Linked DNA regions of Drosophila melanogaster. The protein of the gene in region 2 binds, or shares a complex with, the protein of the main gene of each other region. Each region holds a gene or a part of one and is shown on either strand. Other genes may lie near its edges.

The links.
Region 1: wda (region 2) and Sgf29 share a complex: the UniProt entries of both Drosophila melanogaster proteins name them as parts of the spt-Ada-Gcn5 acetyltransferase (SAGA) complex.
Region 3: wda (region 2) and Spt3 share a complex: the UniProt entries of both Drosophila melanogaster proteins name them as parts of the spt-Ada-Gcn5 acetyltransferase (SAGA) complex.
Region 4: wda (region 2) and Saf6 share a complex: the UniProt entries of both Drosophila melanogaster proteins name them as parts of the spt-Ada-Gcn5 acetyltransferase (SAGA) complex.

Annotation. Positions count from the first base shown.
Region 1 is NT_033778.4:21,291,376-21,296,235, forward strand, and holds Sgf29 (SAGA-associated factor 29kDa), read right to left. Parts: upstream 2,272-4,860; 5' UTR 2,122-2,271; intron 2,067-2,121; exon of another isoform or gene 2,040-2,066; 5' UTR 1,985-2,039; coding exon 1,946-1,984; intron 1,891-1,945; coding exon 1,662-1,890; intron 1,610-1,661; coding exon 1,452-1,609; intron 1,383-1,451; coding exon 939-1,382; 3' UTR 864-938; downstream 1-863. Other genes in the region: CG30392 (uncharacterized protein), read right to left, coding at 1-206, 267-484, 552-709; RpL29 (ribosomal protein L29), read left to right, coding at 2,685-2,786, 2,856-2,984; CG9752 (uncharacterized protein), read right to left, coding at 3,060-3,835, 3,892-4,147. UniProt on the Drosophila melanogaster protein: Component of both the SAGA and CHAT histone acetyltransferase complexes, which both predominantly acetylate histone H3.
Region 2 is NT_033777.3:23,253,842-23,260,438, forward strand, and holds wda (will decrease acetylation), read right to left. Parts: upstream 4,247-6,597; 5' UTR 4,159-4,246; coding exon 4,000-4,158; intron 3,940-3,999; coding exon 2,645-3,939; intron 2,568-2,644; coding exon 2,267-2,567; intron 2,207-2,266; coding exon 1,860-2,206; intron 1,783-1,859; coding exon 1,653-1,782; 3' UTR 1,229-1,652; downstream 1-1,228. Other genes in the region: EloA (elongin A), read left to right, coding at 1-111, 177-468, 528-607; Pex11c (peroxin 11c), read left to right, coding at 5,069-5,140, 5,836-6,200, 6,261-6,320, 6,380-6,587. UniProt on the Drosophila melanogaster protein: Component of the transcription regulatory complex SAGA, a multiprotein complex that activates transcription by remodeling chromatin and mediating histone acetylation and deubiquitination. The SAGA complex predominantly acetylates histone H3.
Region 3 is NT_033777.3:12,014,745-12,019,911, reverse strand, and holds Spt3 (Spt3), read right to left. Parts: upstream 2,757-5,167; 5' UTR 2,687-2,756; coding exon 1,532-2,686; 3' UTR 1,362-1,531; downstream 1-1,361. Other genes in the region: DCAF12 (DDB1 and CUL4 associated factor 12), read left to right, coding at 3,094-3,360, 3,430-3,984, 4,044-4,448, 4,513-4,665. UniProt on the Drosophila melanogaster protein: Component of the transcription regulatory complex SAGA, a multiprotein complex that activates transcription by remodeling chromatin and mediating histone acetylation and deubiquitination. The SAGA complex predominantly acetylates histone H3.
Region 4 is NT_033779.5:811,555-818,015, forward strand, and holds Saf6 (SAGA factor-like TAF6), read right to left. Parts: upstream 4,397-6,461; 5' UTR 4,278-4,396; coding exon 3,921-4,277; intron 3,868-3,920; coding exon 3,721-3,867; intron 3,668-3,720; coding exon 2,689-3,667; intron 2,631-2,688; coding exon 2,397-2,630; intron 2,340-2,396; coding exon 1,903-2,339; 3' UTR 1,760-1,902; downstream 1-1,759. Other genes in the region: Dbp21E2 (DEAD box protein 21E2), read left to right, coding at 82-942, 1,008-1,757; Pex12 (peroxin 12), read left to right, coding at 4,529-5,422; CG15880 (uncharacterized protein), read right to left, coding at 5,492-5,628, 5,690-6,344. UniProt on the Drosophila melanogaster protein: Component of the transcription regulatory complex SAGA, a multiprotein complex that activates transcription by remodeling chromatin and mediating histone acetylation and deubiquitination. The SAGA complex predominantly acetylates histone H3.

The DNA.
Region 1 (4,860 bases), on a different chromosome or scaffold from region 2:
CTCTTTGGCCGCCTCGACATCGGAGCACACTTTCTTGAGAAGATCTCCCCTAGTGGGCATCGCGTACATAGCCAGGCGCGCTCCTTTGCGGATGAGGAATGAGTGATGCTTGCCCAGGGTGTCATCGTAGGCCTCCTTGCACACGTCCACAGTCTTTTGGTCGTCGGGTATCGCCTGGATCCGATTGAGAAACTCGTAGACAAAGTCTAGATAAGAAGAAACCAATCAATTAGCCACTGTGGCAGTTATATGCGCATAACGCTCACCAAGACCGCGATGAAGACGTAGCAGCGTTCGACTGCCAGACACGTAACCCTTCTGAGTAAGCAACTGGGCCTCCTTCTCGTAATCCAGCATGGTTCTGAAGGTATTAAAGTGTTCCTGCTCCTCCGCGTCCTTGGCTCTCAGGGCGTATAAGATATCTATTTTACTGCGCACATCGCTGCTGACAAAACTGAAGACACTGCCCATGAGCTGGAAGAACCTAATGAACACCGAAAGCCCAATAGAGCACCACTAAAAAACATAAACATCATAATCACTCAGTTTACTTCATTATTTCCTCGTAGGCTGCCAAGTATGCGTCTAATTGTACGTCATCCTCGTCCAGAAGGCTGGTTTCGAACAAATTAGACACTTTGAGGATATCAAAACAGTTTCCATTTTCCGCCGTGCCATTGGTCTGCGTCGCTAAGCTCGTTTTACTCATCTTATAAGCCTGCCTTTCCCCTTTGTTTTCCTACAAACTTTAAAGTCTATTTATTTTTTTTAGGAAATCAATGTAACCGTTCTCCAAAAAATCCGGTATTAAAATACCACCCTGAAATTACTTTCTTCTTATTCCAGACAGAAACCAGTCTATTGTGAATTGAATACAATTTTAATTGGAGCTATTATTACAATTACATTTAATTCTTAAAGTTAAGATAATACATTTTTTATGCTGATGATAGATTCCCGCTGCCACTGCCAGCCCCCTTTTTCGTTGGACGATATGCAATCACATAGCGCTGTGCGACCGGCAAGGGTTCGGCATAGCCATTCGTGTACGATGAATCCTCGAATAGCACCTCGTAATCCTCGGTGGCGGTTTGCGGCAGGCGATGGACAATGGCCTTGTAGAAACAGGTGGTCTGTGGATATAGCGCCATTACCACTGTGTCCTTGGGGAAGAGGGCGTGACCATCGGTCTCAGGATTTGCACGCATTAGAGGCAGTGGGATGACCTTTCGCTTGCTCAGCACATGGCGATCCTTTTGCTCCTCGTCAATGTCAATTACGTCGTATTTGTTTTGACGGTGAAGGAACTGCACCACTTCCGCCAGGATCCAGTTCTCCTCCTCATCAATTCCCTTAGCTAATGCGGCAACATTGTCGCCAACCTATACAGTGGCGTCCGATTAGTCAGATCATCATCCCAGCTTCTTTGTCCAATCAAAATGAATGCTTACCTTGGCCACATAGTTCCCCTCGGCGGGAATGGCTCCACATAGAGCTGGTGCTCGTTCTCCTAGTTTGCCAACGAATAACGGCAACGTTTGCGCTGAGAGCTGCACCATTTTCATAAGGGCGCCCCGTCGAATGGCCTCCTTATTTCCAGCGTTGCGAGCTGTGGAATATGCGAGATTAAATCCTGTTTATACATCCCATCACTAACCCACCTTGGATGCGCCTCTCATTGCGAATGCTTCGAATCTCGTGGATTTTCGCCAGTGCGGCTCGGATTGTGGCCTCCTCCTGCGCAGCCTCCGTTAAACTGGCCTTGAGCAGGGGCTTAACCTTCTGATTGGTGGCGTGCAGAGATCGCACCAGACTAGCAATGGAGTTTTCCGCACGACGACGCTCCTCGTCCACATTGTGAATGTTTTGTTGAATGTCCTTCAGGCGATCCTGTAAATGCCATATAAATATAGTATATATCGACATTTATTGTTAACATCTTTACCTGAATCTGTTGGGCGGCACTCTCCGCAGTCAGTGGCATGTTGTTTCGATATTATAACAATATAATAAATTTGTTTTTTGAACACTTTGTTTACCTACGCAATGAAAACAAAAACAAGCATAAGCGTAAAGTCGACAACGCGTTAGTATTAACTATGCGATAGTTTTATATTTTACCTCAGTATTTTTTTAATCTTAGCAAATTTTATTTTACAGAGTAAAACAGAGTAATTATTGTTAAGATTTTTGTACCGTATAATCTCATTATTTGACTTTAGTGGATCTTTTTCTCAAACTCGAATATTTACTTTTCAAAGTTGTTTACGTTTCTTACATTGGAGATGGAAGCAAGTGCGCCTAACAGCACGCAGATAACAGCACGATATCTTCACGTGGTTGGCGTTATTTAGTCCCTTTTCTGCGCTCTATGACAGCCTCTCTGGCTTTCCCTTCTTTTCCATCGCGTTTCCGTAAGTGTGCTCCGCGTTTTTCCAATTGGCTATTTTTATTTATAATATCTTCAATTGCAGCTAGGAATTCCAGTGTGCGAAAAACGTAGGTGCCTAATACACGAGAAATGCAACGAAAATTTCAACAGTTGTTGGCTTTTTGTTCAACTGGCGTTGGCTAAAAGTGAACTCCAAGTGTTAACCCCAAGCTAAAATTATAATGGCGAACATTTTTTCTGTTTTCATGTGCCGCCCCATCAACGAATCTTTGGATACCCGGAGTAGTTTAAGATGGCCAAGTCCAAGAACCACACAAATCACAACCAGAACAAGAAGGCCCATCGTAATGGCATCAAGCGCCCGCTGCGCAAACGCCACGAGTCCACTCTGGGTGTAAGTATTCAAAAATATGCATATTTAGTTAGCATCTAGAGTTGATTTTAACAACCTTCCCGTCTTTAGATGGATGTGAAATTTCTGATCAACCAGCGCTACGCACGCAAGGGAAACCTTTCCCGCGAGGAGTCCGTGAAGCGCTACAACGAGCGCATCGCTTCCCAGAAGGGCAAGCCAAAGCCTGTTACTCTGTAGATGATTGCCCCGCGTGTGGATAATTAAAGGACAATTCAGTTTAACAAAGAACCGTCTTTATTTGTGTTGCCGTCGTTAGTAGTAGATGCTCAGCACCTTGTGGAAGGGAATGTGCTCCAGGTCGGCATTGTGCCGACGCCGGTAGTCCCACAGATATTGGTCGATCACAATGGAGTTGACGTTGTCCAGTGAGATTTCGGGGTGCTGCTCCTTGAGTATCTTCACCACAGCATCCCTAACTTGTTCGATGATGTATATAGATGCGCCGCGTATCTCCACCTCTCGGGGATCGCCGTTCTCCAGAATAGTATCCGTCTTTAGGAACTCCATTAGCTCACTGGTGTACTCCAAACTGCCGAAGTGCACTAGCACCTGGGGAATTCGGTAGTCAGCGAACATGGTTATCTGATCGATGTCATTAAAGAACCCAAGTCCCTGACCTCTGTAGCAGGACCACACATCGCCCACTAGGATTTGCGCTCGTTTTAGGATGGAAACTCGCTTTCCAGCAAACTCAGCCTCATCGCGAAAACAGGGAAACTCCTCCACAACGAGATCCAGCAAGCGAACTGCCGATTTCTCCGCCTTCTTGATAACATTCTCAAAACTGCCGTCGTACTTGTCGATCAGAACTTTTCCCACTTCATGGAGCGATTCCAGACGCTTTTGGAGCAGCGGAATCACTGTCTCGCCATCGTCAGAGCGGAAAATGTTCTCCACGGTTTTCAGATCAATCTGGGAATAGAACTTGGGATTGATCACATCCACGCCTTCCTTGATGGCTCTCTTAATCGCAGCACACAGCGCAAAGTAGCCGGTATAGCCATCGACCTTATATTTGGTGTAGTTATCTGCGGAAGATTACCATTGAAGATAGTGGATGCTGCTATAAATATCAATTACTCACTGGGGGTCCAAAAGCAAAAGTTCAGGGTGTCCAACACAAAGACCCAGTCGGCTGCTTTGGAATAATCCTCCGGCTGATTTGGATTGGGATGTAATTCGTGCTGCGAGAAGTTTTCCACAGCAATGCGTTTTTCTATTAGGCCTTTTACGATTTCCTGGGTCAGTTTCTCAATGCCTGCAGGCAGAATACGAACATGCTTGGCATTTTCTACGATATAGGCTCCAGATTCCCGGGGACTTAGTTTGCTGCTGGACATTTTAACAATTTTATTAATGTTTTTAATTAAGATGTCGCGACTTTTGGCGCTGTAACAGGCGTTTTGGTTTATTTAGGAGATTCGGGATGGTAAGTAGTCTGGTAACGCCACCAGGGCTGCAGACACGCCAGAACAGTTTCGGCCCGGTGGCAGCGCTGAAATAACACATGAAGGAGCTGCGAATTTCGCTCGTTGCTCGCGGAATAAAATAAGCAAATAATAGTTAAATGGCAATAGTGGGTCACCAACTAGCCGCCAGTTTTTTCTAACTGATTGTGTAATGTTCTAAAAGTGAAGTGCGTACAAAAAAGAGAACGCGTACAGTGCCGTTGATTGCTTAAACAAAAAGTCATCAATTTGTTTTTGTGTGGCTTTGTTGTTTGTGAATGCCCAGGAAATATTTAATTCACACGACAGTTACTCAAGTGCCGCACGTTCTTTGTGCGATTAAGAAAAATATTTTATCGACGTTTCAGTTGGCACCCACACACTGAGCCACCCGCACTCACACAGATACGGCTACGCGGATACAGATACATATACAGATACACGTGCGCTCAGCTGTTGTCGAGAGCTGCTCAGCTGTAGTTTGTTGTCATTCCGTCTCGAGATCCAGATCCCAGAAAATCCCAAGGATATACCCCCAAAAATCCGGACACGCAGATATATATGCCCTTGATCCAGTCAGCAGGTGAGCTATCCGGTTCTGGCCC
Region 2 (6,597 bases):
TACAATCCTTATTTAATGGATGACAGTGATGTCCTATGGCAACAGCATGTCCAACGTCACTGTCGCAGTCAGCGGCGTGAAGAGATGGAAACGTGGCGCGAAATGTTTTTGGTAGGGACGCAAAGACCCTAAATTAATGCAAACTAAACTAAGCTGACACAAAAATTTCGTTCTAGCGCTGCCAAGAGGAAAAGGATCGCAAACTTAGCATTCTGGCCGAGAGCATCAAGGCATCGCAAAAGATAAGCGAGGCGCCTGTGCGCAAGACGCAATTGGCCTTTGTGGACTCAATGGTGAAGCCGCCGCGTAGTGTGCAGCGCAAGCAAGAGCAATATGGCACCAAGGGCAAGCTAATTGCCACTCCAGCCGCCCGAGTGGCCGCCTTGTCCAGCGTGACTCCAAATGCAGCCAAGGTGGGCGATGCCCGACTACGTGTGCTGGCCGCTGCCAGGGACACGGCCCAAGTGGGTAAGTATTGTAATGATTGTGGTTAAGAATTAAATTTACCTATAATTTTTATTGAAAAGGGGCTGGACCAGCGCGATCGAAGAAGGCACCTCTAATGGCGAAGACCTTGCAGTTTATGCGCGGACGTCTCAAACGATAGATGCGCTTACTCATTATAGCTACAATCTTATACTCAACTTCTTCAGCGACAACTTAAGCAGCAGCAGTAGCAGCAACCTCGATCTATTAGGCATTCACGGTGGGATTACCTTCCAACTTTATTGGCAAAGACTTTCAGGTCTGAATAAAGTGACATTGTGATACTAGACCTTCTACTTCCCAGTGCGCTGTGGAATCAGACTGCTGCTGTCGGCATGCGTAGCATATGCATGCTATTTATTATTTATTCATGTTCTGCCCTCTTTTATTACGCTGTATAAGTCACTATATTTAAGCCAACCGGATAAAGATAAAGCTTTTGTTGCATCCCGCTGGGTCGTAGACAAGCTCATTTACATAAGTTATGATATTTGATTATAGTTGTTCAATTCATTGATTGCATGTAACTTACGATCAGAAGGCTGATCACTCCAACATTATTTAAAAATTAAGTTCAATGTTCTTTGTTCAAAAGGGCTGTGCGTATGTCCAAAATCATAGAGGTTCCAAGCTGTATATAAATGTATTTACACAATCCTAAACCTATATGAAACTACCTAAATTATTGAAGAACAGTAAAATGTCTCTTAATGCATCGCTAATTAAATTCAACCAAAAAATTCTATATTACCTTTAGATTTATTTAGTTTTGCACATTTTTAGGTATTGGGTAAAATGTTAATATATTAAAAAAAATCACTTCAACAATTGAAATTCGATTCGAATGCTCGTCTTATTTTTAATAGTTACACATTTTTCAACTTTTGTGGAAATTGGCCACTCATTACTTATGCCATGACTTCGTTTTGAAAGACATTCTTTAGCTGTGACCAGTAGACGATGCAGGTAAAGGCATTACACTGTAACCAACTCGTTTTATTCCACAAGAAAGCTACCAGGATTGTTAAATCAAAAGAATTATTTATATAAAGAATTGTTTCACACGATAGTAACAATAATATACAACTTATTACAAAATAAATTATTTTCAAACATAAGTCGTCACTAGAAAGTCTAAATTCGGGCTGAACTTTCAACCGTCTTCTTTAAGTGCCGATGCAGTAGAGCGTCTTGCTGGTCCCGTAAAAAACATCGACCAAGCGCTGGCAGGAACTATTGACAGTAAGCACACGATTCGTTGTAGCTGATGATGAGCTTCCAGCACTACTGTTGTCACTGTGGAGCAACCAAAATAAATCATCATTACCAATATTAACAAATTGCTCCGTTTCCATTCCACAAATATAACTAACCTCATGGGCGATAGTTTCTTGATGTCCCACAATCGCAAGGTACCATCGCTGCACGCTGTGGCCAGGTGCCTATTGTGCGTGCTCCAGGAAAGAGAACTAATGCTCGCCGAGTGATCCTTGAGCTCAGCCAGCTGTGCTCCGGCGGCCAAGTCGAATATACGCACCTTCGTTTCCTCTCCGGCGGCAGCCAACATCTTTCCATCTGGGCTAAACGCCAGCTGGGTCACCGCCTGACGGCAGTCGGCAAAGACACGCATCAATTTTCCGCTGGTTGCACACCACAGGCGAACGGAGTGATCTGCCGATCCTGTGGCTATGTAGTTGCCATTCGGATGGAACGCAACGCACTGTCAGAAAAAAAAAATATATATAACTAAAAGTTCAAAGACATTTTTGGTTAAACCAACCTCAACATCCTGTGTATGCCCGGCATAAATTATGAGCGCATGTTCCTTCTCTAGCGACCAGAGGCGCGCACTCAAATCCTTGGAACCCGTTACCACGTATTGGCCCACTGGACTTTCGTCCAAGCACCAAATTGGGTAGTTGTGACTTCTGTATATGGCGGCGCAATGCAGGTTGTGGGCACGCCAGCACCGCATGGTTGCGTCTTTGGACACACTATACATGAGTGGGTAGTGGGCGGAGAAGCGCACATCGGTGACTCCTTTTGTGTGACCTCGCAGCTGAAATCCGCCGTATTCGTTGCTAATTAGAAAAAAAAAACTTTAGTTGATTAAAAATTGAAAAATAAAACCAATACTAAACCTGGAAGATGAACTTACTAGGAGTTATCAGCATATTTGCAATGTCGCGCCCTGTTGCGTTCCCGTCTCTCCTCCTCAGAGCACTTGACATCCTCATCGCTGCTGTCCTCATCCGTCTCCTCCTCTTGATTCGCGCAATTGTTCAGCTCCCAGGGACACCGCTTTTGCGGATAGCGTCTGTAGAAGCTCTTGCCGCGGCAGTAGCTCTGGTTTAACTGCCACAGCTGTACGGCAGAATTGTCGAACCCGGCTAACATGTGGCACTCACTGGGATCCAGATGGGCGGAGGTGAGGCCCCGAGAACGTTCACTGATTCTGAGAAATCGCGGCAACTCCACCTGAGACTTGAGTATCTGTTCAGTGGCCGATTTAAGGGTGTCCAAGCAGGCGTCTATATTCAGTTGTAATTTACTAAGCTCTGCAGATTCATCCGTTTCTACCTCCTGTTTGATGTCTGTTTCTAGCATAATGTTTGGCTCCTCAGCGGGTCGTTTTCGGTTCGACTTTTCAGTGAGGGATTTGCTTGGTCTTATGTCTCCGCGGGTATTAAGGGTTACTGCTGGTTTGGAAACAACATCGTCCTCTCCATCCTCACCTTCCAGGTCATCCGTCAAGCCAAGCAGGTGATCCTCACTAAAGGCGCGCTGCTCATTCTCCACTATATGGACATGCAACCAGGTGTAGAGTAGGTTCATAATTAAAACGTGGCCCCGTCGTTGGAGATAAGCGCATATCCTATTAACAACTACGGCTGTAGTATGTAGTTCGTATTTCGAAGATCGAAAATGGGCCACTGTGTCATCGGACTCTGCTGCCTCCAGCCGTGTGTAGCCACTCAGGGTTTGCACCAGGCGCATAAAGTAGTCCAGTTCCGTGTCCCCAGTGTCCTGGGCTTCCTTTGCGAAGCGTATGTTAAAAGTGGACTCATTGGCCGTAGTGGAGCATCCGTTGATCTTGGTAGGTGGTGGTGCATCGTACATATCCACGGGGGCCACCAAGTGAGCATATTTGCGCAACAACTCCACAGCGCCACGCGGTTCGCGAGCCTTGAGCAGATCCAGATAGAAGTGGCACAGCATGGGTCCATAAAAGCGCTTCATTTCCAGACGCAGCGGTTCGGCCTGGGCCTCCACGAACTGCGAAAACCGACCAAATTGCTGGTCCACAGTGTGCTGGTTGTTGGTGATAACCTGGACATTTGAAAAGGTGAAGCTATTGCCACCGTGCAAATCCGTATCCAGCATTTTGTTGACAGCAAACTGCTGTTTGTTTTGCAGCAGCAAAAAATCCGACCGCCGAAATCGTTCGTTGCTCTACGGGTTTGAATATTTGAACACTCTGAGGAATTGTATATTTGAAGATTATTCACTTACCACGTAGTTTTTCTGCTTCAGCAGGAGTCCCACGGCGCAGCGTAGCAAATCGTTTTTGGAGGAGGTCTTTTTGCTGCTCGCGCTCGACTTGTTGTTATTGCTGTTGCTGTAGACGGGCGATGCAGCATGTGCGTGGTTGCTGGCGCTGGGCAGGCTCATCGTTGCGTGTTAGCCTCGCTTTGTTCCGTATCCTGATCCCGTCCTGCAGTGCGTCCGATATGCGTTCGATTATAGTGCTGACAGCGGAGATGGGTTGTCCTATCGATGTGCATTCATCGATTTTAAGCGGCTGCAACAGCTGTTCTTTCAAAATTGTTTTCGTCAGTGATGGCTATTTGGCTTCTCTTTTATAACAATATTGATATTGAAATATTTTAATTTTAAATTTATTTTTACATTTTTAACTTATATTTATATTATATTTTATTTATATTAACTAGCTTTTTATTTTTAGCTCTATTATATTCTCTATTCTTAGCTAGTTTATTTGGCTATTGTCACCACTGAAGAAAGTCAGCTGTTTGTGTTGTTGGATTCCCGAGCGCTCTTGACAATTTCTTGTATTTTCGCTGCGGTATCTCAGTTCGAGTTTTTACGTGATATAAAACAGTACCTGGTCTTCAAAAAACGAGCCATTATGGGCACCACGACAAAGTTTGTGAACGAGTTCTGTGATATTATCGATTCCTATGGCGGGCGAGATAAGGTAACATAGAAGAGCCGCACAGCCGAGTAAATTTCCAATTAATTGAAAACACACCTGTTTGTTTACGTTTGAACCGAGTGTTTTTCCCAATTCGTATGCGCAAATTTAAAAAAATGCATCGTGGCATTTTGACTGGTTTCTATTTCCTTTTTGGACTGGTCCATTGAGGGGCTCGCTTGAAATCGAAACTGAACCAACAGGTTTCCATGTTGTTGCTGCATCGATGTTGGCATTGGTCTTTGGGTCTCGAACAAGGAAGCCACAGCAGTTTGGACCTTGCCTTACTTCTTTCTGATTCGCAATGGATTTTGTATTTCGCTTTTCGCTTATCAGTCGCAGTTCGGCGGCGATCGAGTCAAGATAATGCTCAATACTATAGCCGGCAAACCTTTAAGCCGCTACCAGATAAAGCGGATAATTCGTTATGAACGAAAGGTTTGTTTGGACTGCCGCCCATCAGGAGACACGCGATCCACACATTTCCACCATCGCGAGTTTATATACCCCTACAAGGGGTGTATACAGTGCAGACAAAGAGGGAATCTTGTATAGTGTATCTCTATTTTAATAGAAAAATCGAACCTTGAATACGATAAAATATTGTTCAAAGTATTTTAGATTTATTAATTAGAACAAATAATTTGTTATACTTGATAACCATTTGAAAATATAATATAATATATTATGTGGCTGTAAACAGCGAATGGGGTGGTCACGAACTTTGGAAATACTATAGGATATTTACATAAATTAGTCGTATAGCGACATTAGTATTCCTCCGAATTGCATAACTAATTCATTGATGGCAAAGCAAGCAAACTGAACCATTAATGGGTAAACAATGAAACCACCCACAACTCATTCCGGCCAGGACGGACGACCAGGAGCACTCCACTGGCGGCCATCACACGAGATGATTGTGGCATTCGTTGTATTCTTTTTATCGCTGATAGTATTTTATCTGTTTGTGACAACCAAGCAATTCCACAAATTGCAGGGCTGACTGGCGATTGGGGTCAGGTAGAGGCAAAGGTAAACAGCGATGCCAACTCTCGTGATAGAGCAAACACACGGCTTAACGAATTGCGCAGAACAATTATTACATATATGAAATTAAATACCTATTTCAGGTGATGAAGGCATTGTGCTACAGTGCCAAACTGGTGGCTGGCTACCATGCCAAGCGGAATCCGGAACTAGCCAAGCGATACGCCACCGCCAGCTCAAGGATCTCAGGTGCGAGAGCCACACTGCGTCTCATCGACGACATACCCATGATCCAATATGCTTTGGAGTATGGCTTGGGCGAGAATGAGCCCGATCGCGTCATGCAAGTGCTGGGAGTGACGGCCAACATTGTGGATTTGCTCTACTATCCCATCGAGAAGGTGTGCTGGCTGGCCGAGCACAAGATTGTGGATGTCAAGAATGCGGATAACTGGGACAATGTCAACTCCATATTCTGGGTGCTTTCGGTGTACCTGAACCTCATGAGGTACAGAAGAATTATTCGAATCGTCAGCTTTGAATTTTCAAATTAAATTGCATCTTCTAGGACAATGCGGAATTTTTCACTGAATCAGGAAAAGCTGAACCGAACGAATAATATAAACGAGTAAGTGGTCGTCAGCCGAAAACATCCAATAAAAGCTAACAAACCTTCCAAATCCATAGATTGGATGTGAAAACGTTGACCAAGCACCGCCTGGAGATGGTGTCCATCGTTCGGATCTCACTCGACTTTGTGCACGCCGTCAGCACGCTGCCGAAAGGATATTTGTGGGGCGGCAAGCTGTCCACCCTGCAGGTGGGTGCTATTGGCACCTTATCCGCTGGCCTGGGCATCTACCAGATCTTTGCCAAGAGAAGACTGAACAAGTAGTCGGTCCGCC
Region 3 (5,167 bases), about 11 Mb from region 2:
TATGATTTTCTGTTTACATAGTGTAATTCTATTTAACTATCATTGTTAGAAAAGTTTAGAAAACAGTATCTTTCAAAACAGTATCTTTCGAAGGATAATTAATTCTGTATTCTAAATTATTCAAGAAATTAAGGTATAGAGGCATATTTACATACATACGTATAATATGAGGGCCTTCCCTTTAAGAGAAGTTTAAGGCAACTCGGCTACAAGGGATTGGGGCATATTGACTTTACGCGGCCTGGAAATTGGCTACGTGACTTGACAATACGAAGAAATGACGACGCGACGACGAGCTCCACGGACCTGATGATGATGGTCCTGTTGGGGACGAAGCGAAGAGCCGCATGAAATGCAAATTTGGAAACATTAACAGTGAGTGTGGAGAAGTGTGGGGAGCAGTGCGCGGGGTCAAGGAAAAAAATCACAAGGACGATGCTGGAATGGAAACAAGTTGTTGGCTTAATTTCGTCACAGCCAGCTTGTTTTCATTAACTGGCCATCGAGGAGCTATCGACTGCGTTCCGGCGCTCGTTAGGCGTATGAGCAATCGATTAAGAATAATGGGCCGTTGGAATTACATCTGCAGCACAGAGCAATCAACATTAAGATCCGATTAAACTAGGATATCCCACCGAAGAAAATAACAAGAGGATACCTTTAAAGGTGCATCGATTTTAAGTCAAATTTCGGACCGCATGTTATCAGATAAACAAGCGGGTGATAGGAATAAGAAAAATTTCAAATAAATGGTTTTTAAAAGTTATTTTAAAAAGGTTTTTGGAAAAGATTTGGATTTTGCCTTTGCTATACAATCATGACCACAATTGCACATATGTACATATATTAAAAGTTCAAGTGACATTGAGCAATAATTCTTAATCCTTTTCAATTCACGGCAAAAGACAGAATGAAACCCGCCACCCATAACTGCGGAATGAATTTTAACCCCTTTACCCTTCGTTGCTATGCGTGTCACACACATTTATATGCACAACAGGAAGTTGATTATTAAGTGCGTTCGCGAGTTGCTTCTCTTAATGCCTTATGCTGCAGTCTCTCCTGCAATCCTGCGGCATCCTTGCTGGTCCTTCTCCTTCGCTCCGTCTGTGTGGCACACGTGCGAGTGCGCCTGTCGGCAAATTTCTTTATTGCGCTTTTATTTATCTGTCGGTGCCAGTTTCAACTTCGTTTACCGCTTCAATTTATCGGCTCCATGCGAGGCAGATTCACCCGTCCGTAATTGGAGTGCGTTTTTCTGTCTTTTAGTCGCAGCCTCAAAGGCCAGGATATGTGCCACAGGCAAATTGAATTAATGAATATGCCTAGTTGTTCTTGACCTCTCAGGAAAAAACTTTTTTAACGAGCCAAAATTGCTTTATTTTATAATTTGTATAATTAAAATGTAGAGCGCGTTAATTGTTGGGGATTGAATTACTTTAAATGAATTAATTGTACAGTCTATTTTTTGTGAATAAAATCAATAATTGACGCAAATAAAAATAGGCGAGGATATTAAGATCATTAAAACTTAAATGGCTAGAAAACTGCGCCGGAAATCGATGTCGCAAGAGTTGCGATACCGCCCAATCTTACGGCTGCTCATTTGCCGGAAACGGCGCATGGCCTCGTGGATCTCCGGTACACTGATTGGCTTGACCACCTCCATGCCGCGACCCTGTGTGACCTCCGGACAGACGTGCATCATAGCCGGACTGCCTCCGGCGGAGGTCACTCGGCTGTAGGGCTCGGTCGCACGGTTGTCCGAGTTCAGGCGCGTCAGGATCGAATAGTCGACAATGGCGGCAATGGTCTCATGCGCCAGATAGGCCAAAATGTTCATTGTCGGCGTTGGGATGCGAAGGTCCGCGGGCAGGTCCAGAAAGCGGCGGAACTTGTTCTTGATCTTCTCCCCATGGCGGCAGTAGAATGACGTCTTGCGCGCCTCATTGAACTCCAGGTATTGCTGGCCCGTAAGGATCTGCGATATCCGATCTGCGCGGAATAATCTTCGCATTCGGTCCTCGTCGTGTAGCTCGTACACATCGATGGCCAGCTCCTCGTCCTCCTCCTGCTGCTCCAAGTCGTCCATGAAGTCCTGCGGCCTTCCCGTGCGGATACTAAGGAACCTTTTGAGTATGCGCATATCCTTGAGGTGCTTTCGCATCCGAGCTATCTTCACCGGATGGTTGCGCATCAGGAACTCAAAGTCCGCCTGCGACGGGCAGGGATTCTGTTTCCGCCGCATGGCCACCAGCGAAGCCTCATTGAAGATGCCGCGCAGCTGCTGCTGCAGGATCTGCTCCACCAGCTTGACACTTCCCGTCCTGGGCTGATCGCTGTCGCCGAAGCTTCGCATGATATCCGCAATCTCTGTGAGCAGTGAGACAGGTGCATCATCCGGAATGAGAACGTTGGCAACGTTGCTCCCGCTGGCACCACCGGCTACATTATGTCCAGCTAGGTTGATCTGCTGTGGCGAGGGATTCGTCGGTATGCTTCCACTTTGCAGCAGAATCACTTGGCGCTGCACAAGCAGTGGCTTGATGTCCTCGGTGGTCTGCAGTTGCGGCGTGCTGGGCGCCGAGGGCGGGGCAGGTCCAATCATTATCGGCGACGCTGCCATGTCGTTGGAACCCACGCAAACCGAGTTCTGTCGCATTACTCGCTTGGCGTTGTAGTTCATTTTATTTACAAACAAAGTCACCACTTCAATCGCAACAGCTGATTTCGTGAGAATAGATAAAACCCTTTGTGAAAGCGATGGCCTATCGTTAGGGATGAACGATAGTGTAACGCATTTGTGCGACATCCGACTTTATATAAATACTGTATATTATATATATATTATTATATATATATATATATTCAGGTAACCAGAGCGGCCGAGTATTGTGCCAAATAGAAAAATGTCAACACTTGTATTTTTATTTCCCTTAATTTGTATCTCTGCATTAAATGCAAAACAATCGGTTCAGCAAACTTCAGTTCCGAACCAGTAGTTCCACTGTAGTCTACGCACCACCATTTTTGTTTGCGGATGATAACCCGTAAAGCAAAAGACAACAAATCGGATTAAACAATTACCTTAAGATGTTCAACGGGATGGTGAGAACCATCCGCGACAGCGTCGTGGGCACCTATCCGTCCTGCCACGTATCCTCGCGGCTGGAGGAGCGCAGGGCCAAGCAGCGGGCGATGCGACAGGAGCGTAGACGAAAACCGGACAAACCAGACGACTTTGTTACTTACGAGGATTCCGGCAGCGACGAGGAGACGCCCCAACAGCAGGAGGAGGTCCTGAACACATCCTACAACCTGTGCGACTACCTGCGCAGCCGGGAGAGTGGACTCCGAGATGTGGGTATATGTTGTGAAGTCGCACCACTTGCATTGCTAACGTGAACTTTGTCCCACCATCCTCTGCAGCGTCGCAGTGTCAATGTGGAGTACACCAGCCGCTATGTGCTAACCCACGACATGCTGCGCGAGACGCAGATTAGTCTGGGCTACATCAACAAGGTCTTCTGCTCCAAGTGGCTGAGCAGTCGACAAGTGGTTTTCGGGACCAAGTGCAATAAACTGCTCGTCTACGATGTGAACATGCGCCGGGTGGACGCCATCCCAACGCTCTCAAATAGCCGGGCAAACCATCCTGAGGTCCAGGGTGGCCTGCATGCCATCGAGCTGTCGCCCAGCCGATCCTTCCTAGCCACCGGTGCGCGCAACTCCTCCGATATTGCTGTTTACCGACTGCCTACGCTGGATCCCGTCTGTGTGGGCGAGGGTGGGCACCGCGACCTTATAATGGGCATGTGCTGGCTGGATGACCAGTTTCTTGTGTCCGGATCGAAGGACTCGCGCATGGCTCTGTGGCGCATCAACGAGGATCACATGGAGTTTCCAGATGGCGGCGAGGAAGCGTGTCCCACATTCGCAACCATCCACCCCCTTAGTGTCAAGGAAGTTCGCACTGCCCAGAGGGTGAGCTTATGAATGCAAATCAAATCAAAGAACCATTTTATCAATAAGATCTTTTACAGATTCGATCTCTTTGCTTCAACAAGGAGTTTAAGGAGATCGCCGCCCTCTCGCTGAACGGATACATTCACATCTTCAATGCGGAGACCTTCAAGCAGACACTCTCACGAAAGCTGCCAAACTGCCAGGACAACGTGAGCATCGCCTACCACAGCGACGGCCTTTATGCCGTTGGATGCCGTTCCTATACCATCCTTTTGGACGCCCGAACCCTTCAAACCATTAAGAAGATCACATCTCGATACAGTGGCTGCGGTATACGGGCGACTTCGTTCGAAGGTAACCTGCTCACCGTTGGCACGGGTCTGGGCATGCTCCTATTCTACGACATTCGAGCCGGAAAGTATTTGGAGAGCAGTGTGAATGCCTCGCGCACAGTCGCACTCAAGTGCAGCAAAGGAATTGTGGTAAGTGAAGAGGTTACAGTTCCACAAAATACACCAATTCACCTAACTGTTTTGTACATTTCAGTATCCGGAGGATGAGATGGATGGCTTCCAGCAGGTGAAGTATGTGCCCGCCATCTACACCCACTGCTATGACAGCACTAGGATGCGCCTCTTCGCTGCAGGAGGACCACTGCCGGCGACTTTGGTGGGCAACTATGCGGGCGTTTGGCAATAGATTGGCATAGGATCCGATCCGGGCTCACAATACTGATTAGTATTTAAGTAGTTATTCGACTTGTGATCTTTAATCTTTTGGCGCATTTCGATTCAAATCGTTCACCTGCATATGTATTCCGCCAAGACAGAATTTTTATTTAACTTGATTACTCACTTTTGGTTTTAATGAAATTTATGTAAGATTTATGTTAATGATATTTTATATTGTGTGTAAACAATATACACCGTTTAAAAGTGTAAATGTAAGCATAAATACCGATCCTATTTATATATAGTACATACAATACAAATAATGGAATACTAATTTATAGACAATGCATCTGATTTATAGTCTGATCTATATGGTAATAGAATTTCAAATTAAACAAACCATTGAAAAACATTGTTTTTAAATATATGCAAAGGCTTTCTTCAATCTACAACGCGCATATTGCCGGTGGTGCTGTATAGGGCACTCAACACAACGGGTGTGGACAAATTACAAGAGTGTACAAAGTACG
Region 4 (6,461 bases), on a different chromosome or scaffold from region 2:
AGCGGCGCTTTCCAACACTTCGATGCGTGTGCACAGCTGACTTGCCGGCAAATGAAAAACATTGAATAATATTCCGAAAGCATGCTGAACTTGTCCGTGGTGCTCCGGGTGCAATCATCGCGCCATGTGGCTTCATATGCCACAGCGGCGGCGGCGGCAGTTAAGACGAAGCCACCAAAGGCAAAGTCCAAGGGCAAAAAGCAGAAGGGGGAGCCCCTAATCTCCTGCAGAAGAAGCCAGTTCGATTTAACCCAATACGAGCAGACGGATGCCAAGTTTGGGAGTCTTTCGCTGGCCTCCAAGGGCTGGCTGCACAACAAATCCAAGGGAGACTTCTTCATCCTGAACGCCAGCGTGCGAGGTGAGGAACTCCAGCAGGAAATGCAGACCGTCGATGAGTTCCTCGAGAGCACGGGGATGCAGATTCATCCGCAACTCCTTGAGAACTTGCGAGTCGAGCTGGGCATCAAATTACTGACGGGAATCCAAAAACAGGGAATGCCCGTTGTCCATGGAAATGAGCACTGCCTCATTGCCGCTGAAACTGGGTGTGGAAAAACAATTACATATCTCCTGCCTATCGTAGACAAACTCCTCCAGAAAGAAGTGGTCACCGAACGAAAACTCAACACCCCCCGTGTCTTGATCCTCACTCCCGGCAGAGAACTAGCCACGCAGATTGCTGGGGTCACGGAGAAGCTCACCCAGGGCACCAATCTCAAAGTGCAATCTTTACTTGGCGGCAATACCAAGCAGCTTATGATGAACCCACAGTTCGAGGAGGTGGACATACTGGTCGCCACTCTGGGTGCACTTAGCAAACTGGTGACCACTGGCATCTACCGCATGGAGCAGGTTCGTCATCTGGTTCTAGACGAAGCGGACACCCTCCTAGATGATACGTTCACAGACAAACTTTCCTACTTCCTCAGGAGATTTCCCGTAAGTCATTCTAGGCGATTACCAAAGGAATGGCTTCAATCAGCTTGTTTTTTCTTATTCGACAGTTCCACTTGGTGCAAAAGGAGGATGCTGGCACCCAGATGATCCTGGCCTCGGCCACCATGCCCACGAACACCAGAGAGATCCTTCACAAAGTCATAGACGTGGACACCATCCGTGAGGTCGTCAGTCCGCACCTGCACCGACTGATGTCTCATGTGACGCAGAAGTTCCTGCGGCTGTCGAAGGCCGATCGGCCCGCCACACTTCTGTCACTCGTGAAGCATGATCTTGCCAAACGTCGCCCTCTTATCGTGTTCAGCAACAAGTCCACCACCAGTGACTTCGTTTCCATCTTCCTGAACAACAGCGGAGTGAACTGCTTAAATCTGAATGGGGATATGCTGATGAAGATCCGTCTTGGCCGCTTCGAGCAGTTCCAAAACGGTCACTGCGACGTCCTTTCCACCACCGATGTGGGAAGTCGTGGCCTGGATACCACACGAGCTCGACATGTGGTCAACTTTGACTTTCCGCTCCACGTCTCCGATTATATCCATCGTTGTGGCAGGATCGGTCGGGTGGGCAACATGGACAAGGCGCTAGTCACGAACCTGATATCATCGCGCCGCGAAATCGACGTCGTCCAGCGAATTGAGCACGCAGCTCGAACAGGTGGACTTCTGCCGGATGTGAATGCCAACATCCGAAACATTATCAACAAGCGGATTGTGGCGGAGATGAAAGCTGCAGGAATGCCCGTGCCCGCTTTGGGCTCACTAAATGGACATACGCCTCAGGAAGAAGCCTTTTAGTTCTGTGTTTTTATGTATTACGAGTAAAGTTGTATCACCTTTCGGAAGACCGAAGAGGAAGTCTAAAGTAAACGAAGAGTTTTATTGAGATCCCCAGGTCCTCCTGGACCTCCAGAAGGTCTTATAATACTTTCCCAAGTCCCTTTCAGATCCTTAGGTAGTGATAGCCACTGATGGGCGACCACTTTCTCACGTTGGTCAGGGGCTTAAAGAGTTTTCGTTTGGCGATCAGGATGTCGGAGCTGGCACCGCCACCCCCACCACCGTTCGCTGCCGACGAAGGCGAGTCTTCGGAGTGGGGAACAGTCGCAACCTTCGGCTTCAGCAGCACCGGGCGGCATCCTGCAAACTTAAAGCGGATGTTGCCCGCGCAGTTGAGCTGAAGATTTGGTGACTGAAGGTCGGGGAAAGCCTCGCAGAGCGTAGGCTTCGGTTTGAGTGCCTTGCTAGGATCGTCTCCGTGGCACATGGCTGCCGCAAGAGTACTCCATTCCAACCGACGCACTCCCGGCACTGATTCTATTCTGTAAGCGGGTTGTTTGGCCTTCACATACCGTCTGGTTACCATCTTTTCGTAGGCTCCTGCAATGATTTTTAGTTACTTAACCGCTTTTCATGGAACACATGGGTGTTTCTTACGCGCATAGTGGACCAAGAAGGGCTGCAGAGCAGCACCGCATCCGTACTCCAGCCATTCATACAGGTATACGTCATCATGACCGCCAAGGAAGATGGCAGCCGGAGCCAGATCCGGCCACAGGCTATCCGGGATTTCCTCGACGCGCAGTTTGTAGATGTAGGGAATAAACTCACGAAAGGCATATTCTCCCAGGGCAATGAGACCGCGCACTGCTCTACTGATATACCTAAAGTCTTAATTAAGAAATCCAAAGATAAGGATCCAGGCTAACAAATTGTAAGGATGATTTACCTCTCTCACTGCTGACGTGGCGACCTTCGAAGAATCTCGCTAGGCGTCTCTTGATCAAAAACAGGCACTCTGCATGTAGGTAACCACTTTGAGATGCCAGCTGTCCTATAGTTTCACACAGCTCGTCCACCAGGCCATTGCCGACTGGACAGGCAAAGTAGCTGGATAGGTGTTCCGCCTCCGGCTGAGGATTCAATTCCTCCTCCTCCGATTGCAGCTTGTAGATTGTGTGTTCCATGGTGCTCTCACCCGGAAACATCTGGGGTTCTTGCTCCTGTTTCTCTACTCCCATGACCTCCGGATTTTCCTGGGTTTCCGGATTATGGCACTGGTCTGGCTCAACCTTTAGTTCTTCTTCAAACTCCATTTTGATGGAGGTGGTTTGTCCCGGATCTGGGTCGACGTGTGGAGCTTTGATAGTTTCGTAAGGTGCCATTAGCTGGCTGACCAGTACCTCGGCCAGGTTGAAGTACTCCGGCCGGCAGGCATTGTGATTAGCAGTGGCGTTGTAGTTGCATGCTCGGAGCAGTCGCCAGCATCGCTGGCTCAAATGGTCCTGCTGCTTAAAGGCTAGCAACTGGACCATCTTACTCACAATCACTCGGTAGATAGATCCCATCAGGGGTGTCTGAAAAGCATGGCAGACGGCGGCCGTCTGGGATTTGCTGTCCGCAAAAAGGGCTGCCGTCACAAGACTCTGGACACACTGTCTTAGTTGGTCCATGTGCTTATCCTCCACTGGGCAGATGCTCTGAAAGTCTGCATCATCAGGTGTGCACAGATTGACTTCCTTCTGAAACTCCGCGCTCAGCTCGAAGATCTTATCCGAGTGAAAGTAAAAACTGCCGTCATAGTCGATCCGGTCCCAGTCGCTGTCCATCGCACCCAGCATAGGCGGCACATCGGCATCTTTTAGCACTTCGTTCACCAGGTCGTATGTCACCACTCCGCCCGAGTGGCGCGAGTATATTTTGACATTCTGAGAGATCAAGAGGTTAGAGGGATTAAAGAGGTGTATTACGGTCGACTTACATTGATCAGCTCCCAGACTTTGTAGGAGGCATCTTCCGCCAAACGGGCGCACACATCCTGGGAGAGTTCCACATCGGTCTGGTCGTGCTGCTCCCAAAAGATCTTGATGCTGCGCGGATCGAAACCAGCATAGCTCTTCTGATGACCCTACAGTAAAGAGAGCTTGTACCATAAGAGGGCCCTGAGATTGGCATCCTTACCATTCGACTGGAGTTGCCAGAGGCTTCTGCGCCCGCGATGCCGCCTGCAAGTCCGTGCCCACCACTTCCTGCTACCGCAAATGAGGCGTCAAACAGATTGTAGTTACCCAGACTAGATGTTGGCGTGGTGGGCGTTGTCACCATGTTTAGGTGAGTGGGCGTGGCCGGCAGGCTGCCCACTGCAACGCCCCCGCTCACTGCGGATGCGATGGAGGATGATGCGGATGCCGACAGGGAATTCTTTCCAGTCAACTCCAATTTCGCCGACTTAGATCGCGACTTAGTGGACTTTTTGCTGACTTTGCTGTGCGATGACTTGTTCAGCTCGTCAGTATTGCTGGCGCCAGAGGTTTTCATCTTCTTGGTTTTGTATAATTCATAAATGTATATATTTTCAACAGTTGGTAAATAAACAACGAAGCTGCACCACAAAATAAACAAATCTTGCCAGATTATTAACCCAACTATCGATGGTGCCAACGACTTATCGATATATTGATGAGCACTCGACTGTTTTCAAGCCAAGCCCGATAACACCAGTACTGATAAGAATAACAACATAATTGGTATTCGAATTTAATTCCATTTATTTAAATGCTATAAACACAATGGCAGAAGCGGCAAATGTGCGCCAGAACCTTCAAAATGTGCCGTCGATCTTCGAAATTTCAGCGTCAGAGACGCTGGACAACCTGATTTACCCGGCACTGAGCAAGATATTCGACTACTTTGGACTACGCCTGGACTTTAAACTATGGGGGAGTTTGAGGATTCAGGAGGAGCTGTCGCCATTGCTGACTTGGCTGCTGCAGTACCTGTATCTGCGCAAGAGGGCCTCCTCTTTCGGTGAGAGCTTTTACGGATTGCAAAGGACGGTCACAACCACTGGGGATCTGCTGAACCGCAGGCAGCAGTTCGCCTCTGCCACACTGCTAACCTTCATGCCTTACGTGGAGCGGAAGCTAAGGACCAGGATCACCAGGCACGAGGACACCAGTCCCTGGGAGCAACGCCTTCTAAGCGCATTCCATGCTTTCCATGCCGCCAAGGCGGCGCACACATTCTTTTACCTCGTAAAGTACGCCTCAAACCACTCGCCCATCTTCAGATTGTTGGGGCTGACCCTTCGCTATCCCAGCGAACCTCCCAAAGAGGATCAGTGGACCTACGTGGTCCTAAAGATGCTGGAGGTCTTGGCCTTCTTCCTGCAGTTCGTCCAGTGGTGGTACTCCAACGACCAGCGGCGGAAAGTGGGTGGAACTCTGATAAATCCCGAAGCGATGCCGAGAAAGCAGCTGCCCAAGGAAGTGCAGCAGAGCCTTCCCCAGCGGGGAGAGTGCCCAGTCTGCCTGCTGTCCATCCAGACGCCCACTGCCTGCTCCGTTTCCGGCTACGTCTTTTGCTGGAAGTGCATCGTTAGCCACATGAAGGAGCACGGCACCTGCCCGGTCACCCACTATCCCATCAGTCTGGACGACCTGGTGCGCATCTACGAGACGTAACGTTAAGCATTCCTTTTATGTTTTTTGCTTGTTTTTGTTTAATACATTTTATAAGGAATTGGGAACTGTTTACATCTCGCTGAGGAAGAAACCCAAACGTTGGTCGTAACATATGTAGACGTGGTAGAAGTCAAAGTAGACCGTGCATAGATAGATAAAGAAGCACTCACAGGAGATGAACTCGCCCATACCGAATACGGAGTAGGCTGCAGAGGATCCGGGGATTAGAATTGTAGACATCCTTCCATTCGGTTAGGTTCTACTCACCCAAGGGAAAGCAAAACTTCTGGTGTATAAAGTAAAAAATCCACATGACCACCACCCAGACGTAGTAGGTGAGCACCAGACCGCTCTTCAACCGCAAGGAGAATTCCTCATGCAGCTGCCCAATCCTATCGCTCATATAGTACTTGGCGCACACAAAGGAACCTGCCATGTAAATGGCACACGATACGAATAGCGACAAGGCGATGGTTATGTGCAGCAATGAGTCGCCATCCTCTTGGGGGAAGGTGCCCCATAGCAGTACGCTGGAACTACTGACAGCCATAATGATGGCCATCAGGCAGCCGAAACCTCGGACCGGCCTGCGCAGATTCCTCCGATAGAATCGGAACTGCAGCCATGCACTGGCAATGAGAAATGGGAACTCCAGGTAGCAAGCCAGAGCCCACACTTTGTGCTGAGACTTGGCAGCCGCCGATGTGGAGGGAAAGATGTTGAAGGCATTACAGGTGGTATACGTGGTGGACTGGAAGTCCGTGGTGATGGCCATCACCAGGTTGTACACCATGCAGACGGGCAATTGCAGAAGCCCCAGTGCGAGAATCGGACCAACTGGGATGCGGAAATGCCGCCTCGCCTGCAAATCCTTGATGGAGCTGGGCAACAGCTTGGCTTGATCCTCCACAAAGTGCAGCATTTAAGAGCAGGTTAATCCTAGGACAAGTCGGTCAGACAATCTTACACTTTCTGTTATCCCTCCAGACAAAGTGAGGCACTCGAACAATGACACATAAAACTAAGACAGTTCAATCTC